Saccharomyces cerevisiae S288C: one gene and its partner. The protein of the gene in region 2 interacts with the protein of the main gene of each other region in a pairwise test. Each region holds a gene or a part of one and is shown on either strand. Other genes may lie near its edges.

The links. The genes of interacting proteins can lie anywhere in the genome.
Region 1: the proteins of NSG2 (region 2) and AUS1 interact in a protein complementation assay, tested with the Saccharomyces cerevisiae proteins (one study listed by BioGRID).

The regions. Positions count from the first base shown.
Region 1 is NC_001147.6:347,737-355,288, reverse strand, and holds AUS1 (ATP-binding cassette sterol transporter AUS1), read right to left. Parts: upstream 5,611-7,552; coding exon 1,426-5,610; downstream 1-1,425. UniProt on the Saccharomyces cerevisiae protein: Transporter involved in the uptake of sterol.
Region 2 is NC_001146.8:337,089-343,799, reverse strand, and holds NSG2 (Nsg2p), read left to right. Parts: upstream 1-1,831; coding exon 1,832-2,731; downstream 2,732-6,711. Other genes in the region: serine/threonine protein kinase YCK2, read left to right, coding at 1-164; CUZ1 (Cuz1p), read right to left, coding at 460-1,284; YNL155C-A (uncharacterized protein), read left to right, coding at 1,665-1,889; IGO1 (phosphatase regulator), read right to left, coding at 2,942-3,448; PGA1 (Pga1p), read right to left, coding at 3,592-4,188; ASI2 (Asi2p), read left to right, coding at 4,453-5,322; YGP1 (Ygp1p), read right to left, coding at 6,191-6,711. UniProt on the Saccharomyces cerevisiae protein: Stabilizes the HMG-CoA reductase HMG2 by preventing its HRD1-dependent degradation. Binds directly to the sterol-sensing domain (SSD)-containing transmembrane region of HMG2, promoting its folding to protect it from degradation.

The sequences.
Region 1 (7,552 bases), on a different chromosome or scaffold from region 2:
ACACTTCTTAGGGCTCTATTTTTATGAACAGGACATCATATTATGTAGGCAATAACTTCCGAACTTCGTAATTGATTTAATTGATAATACGACCTATCGTGAATATGCTAAAAGTTCTTTTCGAGGATATAGAGATTCTCGAAGAGAGAGAGATATTCTAAATAACAATATACATATATATATATATATATATATATATATATATTCCTTTCTTGCTTCTTTTTTGTACATTATGTAACTATATTTCTTTCTCATTCCAAATATTCAAATGTACAGGTATTTAATACCGCCTCAATTGATTTAGCGGTATTTTATTTTCTAACAGCTTAGTTATAATACTAAATATACAAAATATATTAGAAGCTCTTTCTCAAGGATATAGGAACCTGCCAAGGAAACCCATATTTCCACATAATGTTACTATTATTATTTCTTCTATTTTTTATGTTGTCATTCATTATCCTATTACATTATTAAATCTTGCATTTCAGCTTCCATTAAATCAGATGACTGTTTTCAATCCTTTTTTATCTTTCTACTCCGTCTACCACAATATAATAGCTTATGAATACTCGCCGGTAGATTATAGTCGATTCTTATTCCAATAGTTTGTTCCTCCAATGACGTTATAACTAATCATAAAGCAATATAGCTAAATTAGGTACCTAATCTTAAAAGATTTTCAGATTTAAACTAATCCTTGTTGCCTATCTTAATTTGAATATTTCTGTATTCTCGCTTAAAAAACATGATGCTGATTATATCTGTTAGTTCAGGTATTCTTTTTACTCCTATATTCTTCTCAGTCATGACGAAGTGTATGTTGTTTTACGGGTACGAGTAATACCGGGGTGTCTTGAAAATCCCAATATAAACAGTCAATGGAAGTAACCAGTTGTCAGAACGGATTATCAGCTTTTCATGGGATGTTACTTATCCTATATATTATATAAAATATGGATCATATTAATTGGTGGAAGCGCCGAACCTCGGATCTAAATTAATTGCTCAGGCGTCTATACGTTTGGGTGGTTAAGCTAAGGGAGGCGAAGTTATATGTCATGTTGCTCATTCTGTTCGTTTTGTTATAAGGTTGTTTCATATGAACGTTTTAGGATGATGTATTGTCATACTGACGTGTACCACTCTGAGAAACAACAAAATAACGGTTTACTGCTTCTATGGCCAAGTTGGTAAGGCGCCACACTAGTAATGTGGAGATCATCGGTTCAAATCCGATTGGAAGCATTTTTTGTCGTGCACTTTTGCTATATAAATATTTTTTGAGCGTCAGCGACAAGTATCTTTTTTTTTGTTGTACAAAGGACTCTTTCAATTGTTTAGTCAGTCATTGGTGACTTGTAAATAATTAGATTAATTAAAATTGCTATTAAGTAGAAAGTAGAAATATATTTAAAAATGGTATTAGTTCTGTACAGGCTTCTTCCCTCTGTGTGGAATTACTTTGGTGATAATTTTAAAGACCTTTGGCCATATTCTTGCCACGTAAGTTAAGTAGTAACCAGCAAACATCGCAAAGAAATTGAAACCAACAAAAGCCCATTCAATACCAAAGTTCCTCCAAACGTGGTCGTAACTCATATTCTCATTTTTCAGGAAGTCATCGCCAACAGTGTACGTACAATAAGCGCAGACTGTGAAAGTGTTCTTATTATGTAGATAGCCACCGTATTCTTCTATGAAAGCTTCCATAAATTGGCCACAAGATTGCCCCGTCAGAGGTTGACCAGGAACCATCTCCGACATGTCACACTTGATTTCCCAGTTATGCAATAGAATACTAACAAAAGTTTCCACAAAATATGTGTATGGCGAAACCCTGTACATGAATTTCCAAAAAGTTGGAAACAAAGAGTATGGTTGCATAACACCACAGAATGATGCTGTAAAACTGTAAATAAACGCAACAAAAACAGCAGCAGTTTGTAGATTAGGAGCAGTATAGATCAGCCATAAACCAAGAGTCGAGTAATAAGCAGCGAAAAGCATATAGTTTAAAAAGAAAACACCGGCACTCCAGCCAGCGTTGTTAAATCCACAAGAGAAAAAGGCACAGACGAAAAATAGTGTGGAACTTGTAAGTGCCAGTGGTAGTTCAATAATTGACTGTGACAAAAGAAGAACAGTCCAGTGATAAGTGTTAGATCTCGCCTCCCTAGCAACATAAACTTCCTTTGTTTTCAAGGCTTTGTCCTGAATTTGATTGATCAATGGAGATGAAACACAAAGAGCCATGAAACAGAAGAAGATACTATCCTGCAAACCGATAATATTATGCTTAATGTGCCAAAATGAGAAACCGATAAACAAACCAGCGCCACCATTCAAACAGTACTTGGCCATGACATAAGTCATGTCTCTTTTCGTACAAATATATTGTCTTCTTGTAATAAGAGCTAATTGCTGTAAGTAGGAAGGCTGCTTCCACAATGAGGTTGTGTAATCAACACCAGACGCACGAGCATCATCTTCTAACCTAGCTGTTTCTTTTTTAACTAGTTTCTTTTCTACAGAAGATTCCCATAATGCACTCCAATCTATGGCTTCTTTGTTCAAAGTAAGAGCTTCCTCCGCTGTATCTTTCCCTGCCGAGGAGTTACTGTTACCTACTGCATCAATGACGAAATCTGCAGGGTTATCATGTTCTTTATCGTAAACGAGCGTGTTGTCATGAGACATGAAATAGCCGCAGGCATCGTCCATTGGTCCAAAGAAGACACATTCACCACCCCTTTTCAATAAGAAAATATTGTCAAAATGGCTGATGACACTTTTACTAGGCTGATGAATGGTACAAAAAATAGCCTGACCCTGTAAAGAAAGTTGTTTTAAAAATTTGACGATTGTTAGTGCAGCCTCAGCGTCCAGCCCAGAGGTTGGTTCGTCTAGGAATAATAAAAGTGAAGGCTTAGTAACAAGTTCAACACCGATAGATAAAAGCTTCCTTTGAGTCGGGTTTAAATCAGCGACTAAAATGTCAGATGGCAATTTCAGTAAATTTGAAACAGTGTCTAAGTATGCCCTGTCACCATCACCTCTCAAAAGACATGATATTTCCAGAGATTCTTTCACAGACAGCAAATCTAGATGCAAATCCTGTTGTTGAACAAAACCAATACTTCTCTTAAACGCGTCCTCATCTGTCAATGGGTGGCCATCGATCAAAATTTCGCCGCTAACAACACCTGTCTCAACTCTTTGTGATAAGACATTCAGCAAAGTAGTTTTACCTGCACCGGACTCACCCATTAAGGCGGTCAAACCAGAACTGATGAAACCGGATGCATTATTAATCAGTTTCTTTGTACCAACTGTGTAGTTGATATTTTTCCAAGAGATGATATGCTTTTGAGTCTCTACTGTTTCCGTGATAGGTTGCTCGTTATAATCGTTTAGAGCCATTTCCTTATTTGAGGGTGATATCTGATATGGAACAGCCGACAGGCTAGACGAGGAAGACGAAACGGAGTGCGACTTTGGGATACCAACATACTTACTGTCATTTCTTGCAGAGGACCTGGTACCTCTCTTTTTATTCAAAAATGGTAGCCATCTTGTCAAACGACTATTGTTGCGCTCTATTTCATCCTTATTGAAATAAGGCTTAATATATTGAGATGCAAACAGAGTACAGGCAATAAAGAATACTAGGAAACCAATGATAATACCAAAGTTTCTCCACACATGATGATACGTGTAGGATAAACCTTGCTTCAAGTAATCACGGCCTCTAACGTAATCATTACCCAGAGTAGCACCTTGCCAAGCACAGGCCTTATGGGAAAATGGAACATCGTTGTAAGTAGGACCTCTTGGAACAATTGTCTCACTACAATCCAGCTTCAAATTGTAAAGCTCATTAGACAGTATTGCCTCCATAGCGTACATTGCAGGATTTAGATAAGCAATCCATACAAACCAAGGATGCATATTTTTCAGGTAGATGACGTAAGAAGCATACATTGCTATAGCTAGTAGCAGAATACCTGCAAATAAATTTGCAACTGAAATGGTTGGAGCAACTAGTGTCGTCAAAGCGAATAAGGACACCATACAGAAATTGTAAAAGGAAAGGAACAGGAGGAAAATGAAAAATCTTGCAGCCTTGTATTGCAGGTGAGCAAGGAAGTATAGGATGATACTGAATACAATTACCAAACAAAGTTTAAAGCAGTAGTCGAACACTGTTGTTGAAAGGGTTTCAACCCAGTTAGTATAGAAGTGAAGTTGGGATTGCTTTTTAACGACGGGTTGTCTTTGGAAGGCAATAGGCATATCTGCAAGAGAAAGAAAAGTGAAGAAAAGAATGGAGAAAAAGGTTAAAGAACCTCTTGAGTATGAACCAATGGTAGTCAACGGAATTTCGTAAAACAGTGAACCAATGACCAAAGATTGAATAACGACAGAAATAAATTGTGCCGTCATATAAGCTTTATCACCCAAACTTCGTTGAAAAGCTCTTTTTGTGCAAAATAATAATTGTTTCTTCAACGGAATATTAAAAATAGGTGAGACATCAGAGGGATCCACTTCCTTAATGGAGTCATCAATTGAAGACCCCTGGATTTGCTGCTTTATATTTCTATAGTACGAAGAATGTTTCCATTGATCATATAAATCGAAATCAGAATTATAAGTATACTTAGTGACTTCCCCTGTTGCGGTTTTGAGAACGCTAGCAGATGATGAATTTGATAAATTCCCCAAATTTTTATTTTTGAACTGAAAATTTAAGATAGAGGTCAGATATTCAATAATACAATCGTTAGGATCTTTCTCAATACCTAAAGTGTCACGAAAATAAGTCAAACACTCATCGACCGTACCATAGAAAAGCTGGTAGGAATCGGATAGCATAAGAATCTTGTCAAACTTATCAACAATTTTATCACTTGCCTGGGAAATTCTGACTAAGTTTACAGAACGAGTAGCTTTTGCCATTTTTCTAAGAATTTCCAAAAAATCGAGAGCTGTGGCGGAATCTAAACCTTTAGTAGAATTATCCCATAGATAAACGGAACCATTAGCAATAAACGTTTCAATAATAGAAATACGTTTACGCTCACCACCAGAAACACCACGGAAAAAATCATTTCCTACAATAGTTTTCAATACATGAGACAGGCCGAATTCTCTTAGAAGTTCATTTCTTATTTGATCGCGCTCACCTTTTGGAATATCGAACTTACAACTCAAGGCAAAATCAATTGTTTGTTCTACCGTTAGAAATGGGAAATGCACATCTTGTTCATTATTGTAAATGATTTGGTGGGGACATTTTTCGGAAAAGCTCTTAAACTCATTATTTTTAAATTTAATCGAGCCTGGAGGAGAGTATGACAAACTAGTTTTACCATGAAACAAAGTCTTAAATAGAGTGGATGTGGGATAACCCAAAACCAAAACCATTTCACCAGCCTCTGCTTGGAAGGTTATGTCATTTAGTTGATTTGCCGGATTCGGCATGCTGTCCTCAGCGTCATAACTCTTTTTTGACTCGCCTTGAGCATCGGCGCCAAATTGAATGTTCGCGCCATTGAAAGTGAGTGACCCGTCAGCAACGGGAGTGAAGTACTTTGAAATTGACATATTAATTCCAGAAAAAGCAGACTGCAAGGACTGAGAGATGAATTACAGCAGTCTTTACTATTCAGCTAATGCCTTCTCAAGTATGTTTTTTTTTTTTTCAATATGGATTTTTATGTCCAATAACTATTCAATAACTGCTTCACAGAAACGGTACTAAGGCTAGGGAAAACTTTACTTTTAGAACTGTTCAGTGCCTTAGAAATAAGGCAAAGGCACCGTCTTTATATTCGAGTTGGAAAATAAGAGTAGAAAGGACACACATTTGTGTTTTGCTCTGTCACATCGTACAGGAGGTAAGCTGCTGTGGCTGTAGTGACACTGAAAGGGACGCTGCTGATGAGCTCGTTTACAGTTCATCTAGCCTGTATATGGAGTGATCTTCAGGCACTCTCTTTGAAACTACCGTAGTTAATCGAAAAAAGGACCTGGAACGACAGCGCGTAAAAAGAAACGAGGAGCAGCAGTGCCTATAAGAGAATTCTCACTTTTCTATTGTTTAGTAAAAAGGTGTGCAATCCCCTTTGCCTACGAAGGCACATGACAATCACGTAAGCAAACGACGCTCTCTATTGTAAACCGTTCGTATGGCTTACTTTGCTCCATAAAGAGGAGGAAAGCTACAAATAAAATAACCTGTATGTACATATTACTCTATATGATTTAAGCTAATGACAAGGGGATATATGCAGTCTAATATTAGAACACGGTTTTTGCCCCTATGTTTCTTTGGATGTACTACTGCACCTGTATGCATCTGGCCTTTCGTTTATTGAGGGCAACTATGAGGGCAGAAGCTTTTGTGAAAGTTATATAAAGAAGAACTATCACAGAGGAAGGGAGGGACAATATCTATAGCGACAACGATTACGCAACGTTTCCTCCATATTGTAGTGATAAGTCAATGAACAGTGAATCCTAATTGATATGAAGTTATTGTTACTACAGTATGAATAAAGTTATGTTGAATAACATTGCTTTCTTTTTGATCGCTTCCTGAAATTGGTGCAATGGGAGCGAATTCCAAGTAACTCGTATAATTTTTTTTTTTCATAGGCCTGCGTGCTCTTCAACGTCAGGCATTAAAAAAAAAGAAACTGAAAACAAGTCAAAACAAAATTCGACCAACAACTACGAATCAAATTAAAACAAAACTTAGTCAACAACTGTAGTGCGTTGGCTGCTAATAATACGTTCTTGTAAGTATAAAAAGCAGACCTTCACCGCTTAATTGCTTTCTAATCATTTCTCACTTCTCCTTAATTAATTAATAAATTTGAAAACTGGTATCCTGTGCCAAAACATTTTCAATCAGTAGGTAAATAACTGTCCTTTGGTGAGGAAAAGTTAACTGCGCGTAACTATTTATCAACTATCCCTATATTTGTAACGTCAAATTACAAAATCGTATTTTAGTAGTCTTGCAAATGGTTTTCTGTTCCCATTATAGCAAAGACACCGGGTGACCATACTTTTTTGTAAACAAGAAACTTTTATTTTTAAAATCAAGTTCTCTGACTGTCAACACTAATGTATGCAGACACGACAAACAATTCATGTTTTGCGTACAAATAGTTCCTACTAAGTTCGGCATACATAATGTAGGCGTAATCTCTAAAAGTAAAGGAGAACTTGAACGATACTAAAATAATGTAATGTTGGAAAAAAATAAGGTATCAAATCTAACCATTTCACAAGGTACTCAAAAAAGATCCTATGTGAGTTAACAAGAAACTTAAAACAATCCATTACCTGCCTAGTATAATTTTTTTAGACCAGAATATGACTCCATAAAACGTGAAGCAGCAGCTAGAAAAACGACGCCTCGGCGGAGTTTGCGTTTAACTCTCATGTGCGGCCAAACAGGTGCGTAAGAGCTGTGACTATTTAATTATGTAATATTTACGGAAAAAGGAGTGGACAAAAAAGGCGTGAATTTTACTCC
Region 2 (6,711 bases):
AATCCAAACAGTTTGCCAATACAGGTGCCAATGGTCAAACTAACAAGTATCCATATAATGCGCAACCAACGGCGAACGACGAACAAAACGCTAAAAACGCAGCGCAAGATAGAAATAGTAACAAATCATCGAAAGGTTTTTTCAGTAAGCTAGGATGCTGTTAGAATAGAAAACGGAGGAGGTTTTTTGTAATCATTCCCACCACCGTCCAGTGATCTTCACATTTTGTTCTAGTATTATGATTTTGATGTACATTTGATATTTTTTTATGTTTTTTATTTAAAAAGTAAGGGCGAAAATGTCTATTATTAAAAAAATATTAAGTACTTTACGTGCTTTTTAATATCGTTTTTTATTGATTATGTATCTTTAATGGGTTATTGATTTTTTTTGTTTTCTTTTTATATAGTATATACGCTTGACGTTCCGCGCGATTGTTTGTTATTTATAGTGTCCTTCTTAATTAGATTTTTCGTCGGCGTTATTGTGTACTAAATACAGAGTATCAAGATCTTTGATCTCATTAGTGACTCTTAAGGAAGCGCCAATATTATAAAATGAAACTTGTTTACCCTCTTTCAATTTGCATAGTTGAAATTTGTCATTAGAACTTGAATTAGTTAGTGTGCTAGATTTCACGTTTAGCTGGATAGACAAATAGTCCATGGCCCTACCCACAGGCCACATTTTGTTAATGTATAATGGCATTCTTGTATCCTCCTTGGCTATATCCGTCTCATCACCATCCACCAAGTAACACCAAATGTAAATCCTATTTTGCATAGGAATCTTGGGGTCACCTTTAGCAATTTTCTTGAGATTAGCCAATTGAATTATCTTATTCGACGAGGAACCGAAATTCTTTTTTGATTTGTTATTGCTCTTTCTTTTCTCATTCCTTTGGAAGAACTTAAATATTTTGTCTAATGTCTTTGAGTTCAAAGTAGAGCTCACTTTGGCAGTGTTAGAACCTCTCAAAGGCTCTCTTGTTTCACTTACTCTCTGGATTCTAACACTGGCCCTCTCAGGTAACAGACTCTTGAAATATGCTTCATCGTTAGAACTTGAGCCATCCCGGCTTTTGCTAGGACTTTTTTCAGTTTTATGAACTTCTTCATGCTCTAGCAACCACCTACAGTGGTGATCTTCCTTAAGTCTATGGTTCGAGCAGAAATCTTCATTGCAAAACGAACAATGGAAAGGTAGGAAGTCTAGTTGTCTACAATATGCACAGTGCTTTCCTACATCCAACATTCCGGTTTCTTTTTCGATAGCCGCCGACATTCTTAAATATAGCAAAAATTAGTTGATGGTCCTTTTTTTTATATCAAAATTAATGCAAGCTCTTGCAGTAGATGTACACTACAATGTGCCTATAGCTCACTGTTGTCACACTTCCGCCCTAGCTCGAGTCCTTGCTTGTACAAGCTCTTATTACATCTTTATACTCATTTGTAGAACATGCTTTTGCCACCGAAAGGAGGGTGAGGCAGTTTTATGTATATACGAACGTCGCTGGCCACGAGGGGGGAACTTTTCTTTTTATCGGCATGAGATAAAGGGTAGATACGAAATTAGCTAGACATTTAAAATATGAAAGCAAGGAAATTACTAAACTTCGAGATGTTCTTTTCCTTAAACTTCTAGTTGACAGCTCAACATTGATGATAGGGCTTATTGTAGTACCTATTTTATTTGCAATAAAGGGCATAGTAGTTGGCGTGCAAAAGGTAAAGAAAAAGTTTGGAAAGCACTCAAACACAAAGGACCAAAAAGAAGACAAGGACGAAGATAAACGACAAAGTATTTCTCAAAGAAAACAGCATACAGAATGGCCAATAGAGGAGAACCGGATCCAAAGAAGAGCACCGAATCAATCTGCTCTCTGACTAAACCGCAGCTTTATTCATTATATGATGATGACGTCGTGAGATCGGAAGATAACGAAATTTACGAAGAATTGAAACGCTCTGTCTCTATAGATTCTACCAAATATAGTAGAGATCAAACTATTGATTCGACTTTTTACTTGGCCCATAAGGTTGGCGGCTCGCTGCCAAGGAACACAGTATCTTCTAATAATTTGGAAAGGATTTTATCAGCATCATCCATTCACGAAAACTTTCCGTCAAGAACCAGACAAACTCGTCAAAATATTCTTCATTACCTGCAAGCTGTATTAATTTTGTCATTGAGCGGTTTCGCATATCATGAACTGTCCAGAAACTTGCACGATAATCATCTCTTACATCCAGATTTTGCATCGAGACCCCTTCTACTGGGTGTCAAACTTTGTAACTGGCTATCCAATGGGGTTCTGCCAAACTGGTTAGGCTACGGTGTTGAAGGACTGTTATTTGGTTCTGTTGTACCAATTCTGGATAATATTTTTCAAACAGAGGTTGTTAAGAGCTCTGTCCACCATGACAGTTTGACCTCTGTTATTAGAAGTATCAATGCCATGTTGGGAGTCACATTTGGGATCAGGAAAATACAGTGGAACTCCTCTTTGCAGGCGGCAGGGGCATGGGGGCTTCTGAATATTATACTGTGGTTGTTTTTTGACGGCTCAATATCCATGTTAATGAGCTGCATCTGCATTGGGGTGGGTTGTTGTATCTCTTGCTACAAAGATATTATCGACGGTTCCCAATTTTTATATTTCATGGATTTTTATTTCCTTGGTTCTCTAATGTTTGGAAAACTAGGAAGATATCTATATTCTCATTAAAGTCGAAATTCTGACGAGTAAATATTATTAATTAGAAGTACAAGAAGATAACATCAGAATGGCTTATCGTTTATATATAACTAATTAACGTAAACACAGTCAGCCATATGGCTGTAACACTTGACATTTCGAGAAATCACATAATAAGCGTTAAATATAAGAGACCCTTCTCTTTCCCTAAAAAAATATAAAAAAGTACAGGTTGTCTATTTATCTAATGGGTGATTCAGTATACAAACTGGACGACGAAGAGCTGTGGTTCCCCACTGGCGTTGAACTTGTACTACCACCTCCAATAGTACCGTTATTAGACGATGGTGGTCCACTCGATATACTTCCCTCCTTTTGTATCAACGTCGCATTATCTACTACACCAGCGGTTGAGGCAGTTGACGGACAAGTGCTTATCCTTCTTTTTATTATATCTTCTCGTAGTTTGCTGGGATTTGTTAATGGCAGGTTATTCTTTCCATAGTTTATTGGATCATTGTTTTGAATGCCAGCTTTCTGCAAAGCGTAATCACCACTGTCGAAATATTTTCTTTTCTGCATGGTATGCTTAAAAATATCTTTCTTTGATGGCAGCTTTCCGTACATTTTGTATAGCTTCATTTCGTTGGGCGAGAATTTGCTGGTATCAATAGTTCCGCTTTCGCCGTTATTCAGTTTAGTTAAATCTGGGTTACTACTATTGGGAGATAAGTTTTCATTCGACATAGCGGCGAGTTAGATATTCAGGTCCCTTTCTTTCGATAAAAATACCCACTTTAATGAGAAGCATTTGATGGTTAATGGACTTTTTTACGTTCTAGTTGTGATGAGGCCAAGCTATCCAGCCAAAGGGGGCTCAGGCTTCCATACTAAAATTTCAGCAAAAGATCGTTCAATACGTGTGGTGCCCGGGTAACAACAAGCCCTGCTACTAATAGCACCATAACGATTAATGTTGGGTAAATATCCACGGGGATACCTAGCCGAGTGGTGATTAATGAGACTTGTATTGGAACCATGGCATGCTCACTAGGATACGAGTCAGACAAGACCTGGAAAGTCACTAGTATTCTCGCGTAGTCTGACTTAGTTCCCTGAAATTCAGTGAAACGTGGTATTGTGATAGTTTGGAGATTATTAATGGAAATTGGATGTATTGCTGACCAACACACTTTAATCTGATATGTTTCGTCTCGCTGTAAGTCCGCCAGTTCAATATACGTAGTATTATGCAACTCCAAGTCAGTGGTATTGGCCTCGATAGTGATCTGACTCATTGCTTCTCCCGATAGTGATATGGAAGATATCAAGTTTACATCTCTTGCATAAGTAGAGCTGTCTCTTGGTTTTTTGAGGGGAAAGTTGTGAGGAACCTTATATAAGATTGATTCTGTATTAGCGTGTACAAATCCGATGAAAAATACAATTGTAGCGATAAACCAGTGAACATTCTGAGGCCGGACCATCTTCTTTTTAAAAATTGAACGAACCTATGTTGGCTTAGTGTGTGCGAATACCAAGGGTCAACAACATTGCTGTGCAGTTAATCTTCATATTCATGTAAACTTCTCATTTTTTCATTGCATATTAGTTTCCGTCATTGATGATCTTTTATAACAATAGTGAGAGGAAACAACTCCCTCTACCTTCAAATAGGGTCGATTCGGGAATATGATTAAAGAGACACCGAATCAAACGCATACATCCTCACAAGCATTTAGTGAGAAAAAATGGCGAGGCCTCAAAATCATCGCCGCAGTAATTGGACAGAAAGAGACGATAATGATGATTATCTGTTTCAGCGATTTCTAGAAGAATCGGAAACGAGGCATAGTAGAGAGCCTTCACCTGTAACCGAGCAATCTCAGCAAGAACTACAGCAGGATGTACAGCAAGCAATCGATGGAATATTTAACTCCCTTAGGAGGAATATGAGTTCTACTTCAAATATAAATAGAGCAGCTAATATGGATGCAACCACAAACGGAAATGGAGGAATCAATGCAGACACTATAAGAGCCACCAACGCCAATACGGCCGATTCCCCATTCACAGCAAGGCAGCAGAGCCCTCTCAGAACTTTTCTTAGAAATTTATTCATTTTAGATTACTTTATTGGGCTAATTTTATTCCCATTTTCCGTATACAACATATTAAGGAGCGGGTTCAATTCAATGACCTTTTCAGAGAATGATTTTATAATCGAAATCGTGGGATACTGGAAATTTGCCAAGATATTTGGTTCTGGTGGCACGACATTAATAGCATATAAGGATACTGGTAAATTAGGGTTGCTTGGAAAGTTTCATAACATCATTGTATTTTACTCTTCACCTGTGATAAAACATATTATGAAAAGTAGAGATGGCAATGAACCCAACTTAAATTGGATAAGACTAATGTTCGCTAAAGCTTTCGAGCTATTTGTCAAAGTCTCTACCATTCTGATCTATTTAGCTTATGGCGTAAGTGGTACCGTTTACATGGTTACCGCTGGGTTTTTCTTCGTATTGTGTCTATTATTCACTGTTATTAGAAGATATAAAGGTGTCCATCGAATGTTGGTGAGCCAAAGGATTACAGGGCCAGGCGTATTCTGATGATGAATCCACGATTATAATTTGTGTATTTGCTTATCTGTAGTAGTTTCTTTCGCATGTGGTCGCTGTATGAGACACTTGACACCAGAGGACGTTTATTTTGAAGCAACTCCTCTATGTAAGAGCTGTTTGCAAGCTTTCCGTACTGTGACACTTGACCATCATAACGTATATTAACGAACTACTAGGGTTGTTGTGGGCTTCTTTCAAAATGGGAATTGTTAAAAACTATTGATAAACGCCACTCACTACATGCATTGATTGTAAGATTTAACTATCCTTTTTACCTGATGTCTCGAAAATAAGCGTTTACAACAACTACTATTTTGCCGTTCTAGTTTAAAACATGGACGCTATAAAACACTAAATATATCAGAAGATTTCACTTAGACACAAAAGAAGGGGGTGAGATCCCTTATCTGTAGTAAAATGTATACAAATTATACGGACATTGTTTCTTTATTGTATCCATGTATACATGTGGGGTCTTGACACTTACAGGTAGTGAATGCTAGACCTTCGAGACTTAAGGTGAGCAATGTTTTAAAACTTTTCTTTTTTTCCCACTTCAGTGGAGTGTCACCCCGGGAAGATATTCACCTATGGTCAATGTAGCAAAAGATAATAAAAAAATATGTATGGCCAAGAATTTATATGATTCTTTCATCAATTAATTAATTAATTATTTGGGGTATGTCTTAAATAACAATAAAAAGGTGTATAAAACAATCATACTGCTTTAATGGGAAGTATGGTTCCTATTACGAACGAAAATAAAAGCTGTTGCGTGGAAATTTTGTAAAATAATGGTTATGATGACTGGTAAAAAAAGAATCTCTATGCTTCGCTAGATTTAATATCTATCAGTTCATGGGAAAATGCTTTCCAGAGCGGACTTGGAGGTGACACCATTAACGGCAGCAATGGACAACAAGATTTGGGCCTTAATTGGGGATAGGTAACCAGCACCCACAGCGTTCTTTGGAACATCTTTGTTGTCAATAAAGTTTAATGGAGTGTTAGCTTGAGCATATACGACTGGGATTTCAGTGCTTTCAATAGTAGATGAGGTTGAGTTGGTAGAACCAGAAGAAACAACAACCAAACCTTGAACGGCAGAACTCAAGGAGTCAATCAAACTGGAAGAGTAACCACCGTCATAGACAATTGGAACAATTGGAACACCGTTTTCTAATAGACCATAAGGAGTAGTGAAGTTACTGTATTCCTTTCTGATAATCGAGTCAGAAGAGATTAAAGTTGGCTTAGAAGCATCGAAGAACCATTTAACTTCGTCTTGGTCATCAACGATAGCAACAGGCAAACCAGCACCGTAAGAACAAGCAGTAGGTGGAGTGAAGACACCGGAGTACACTAATTTGTCAGAAG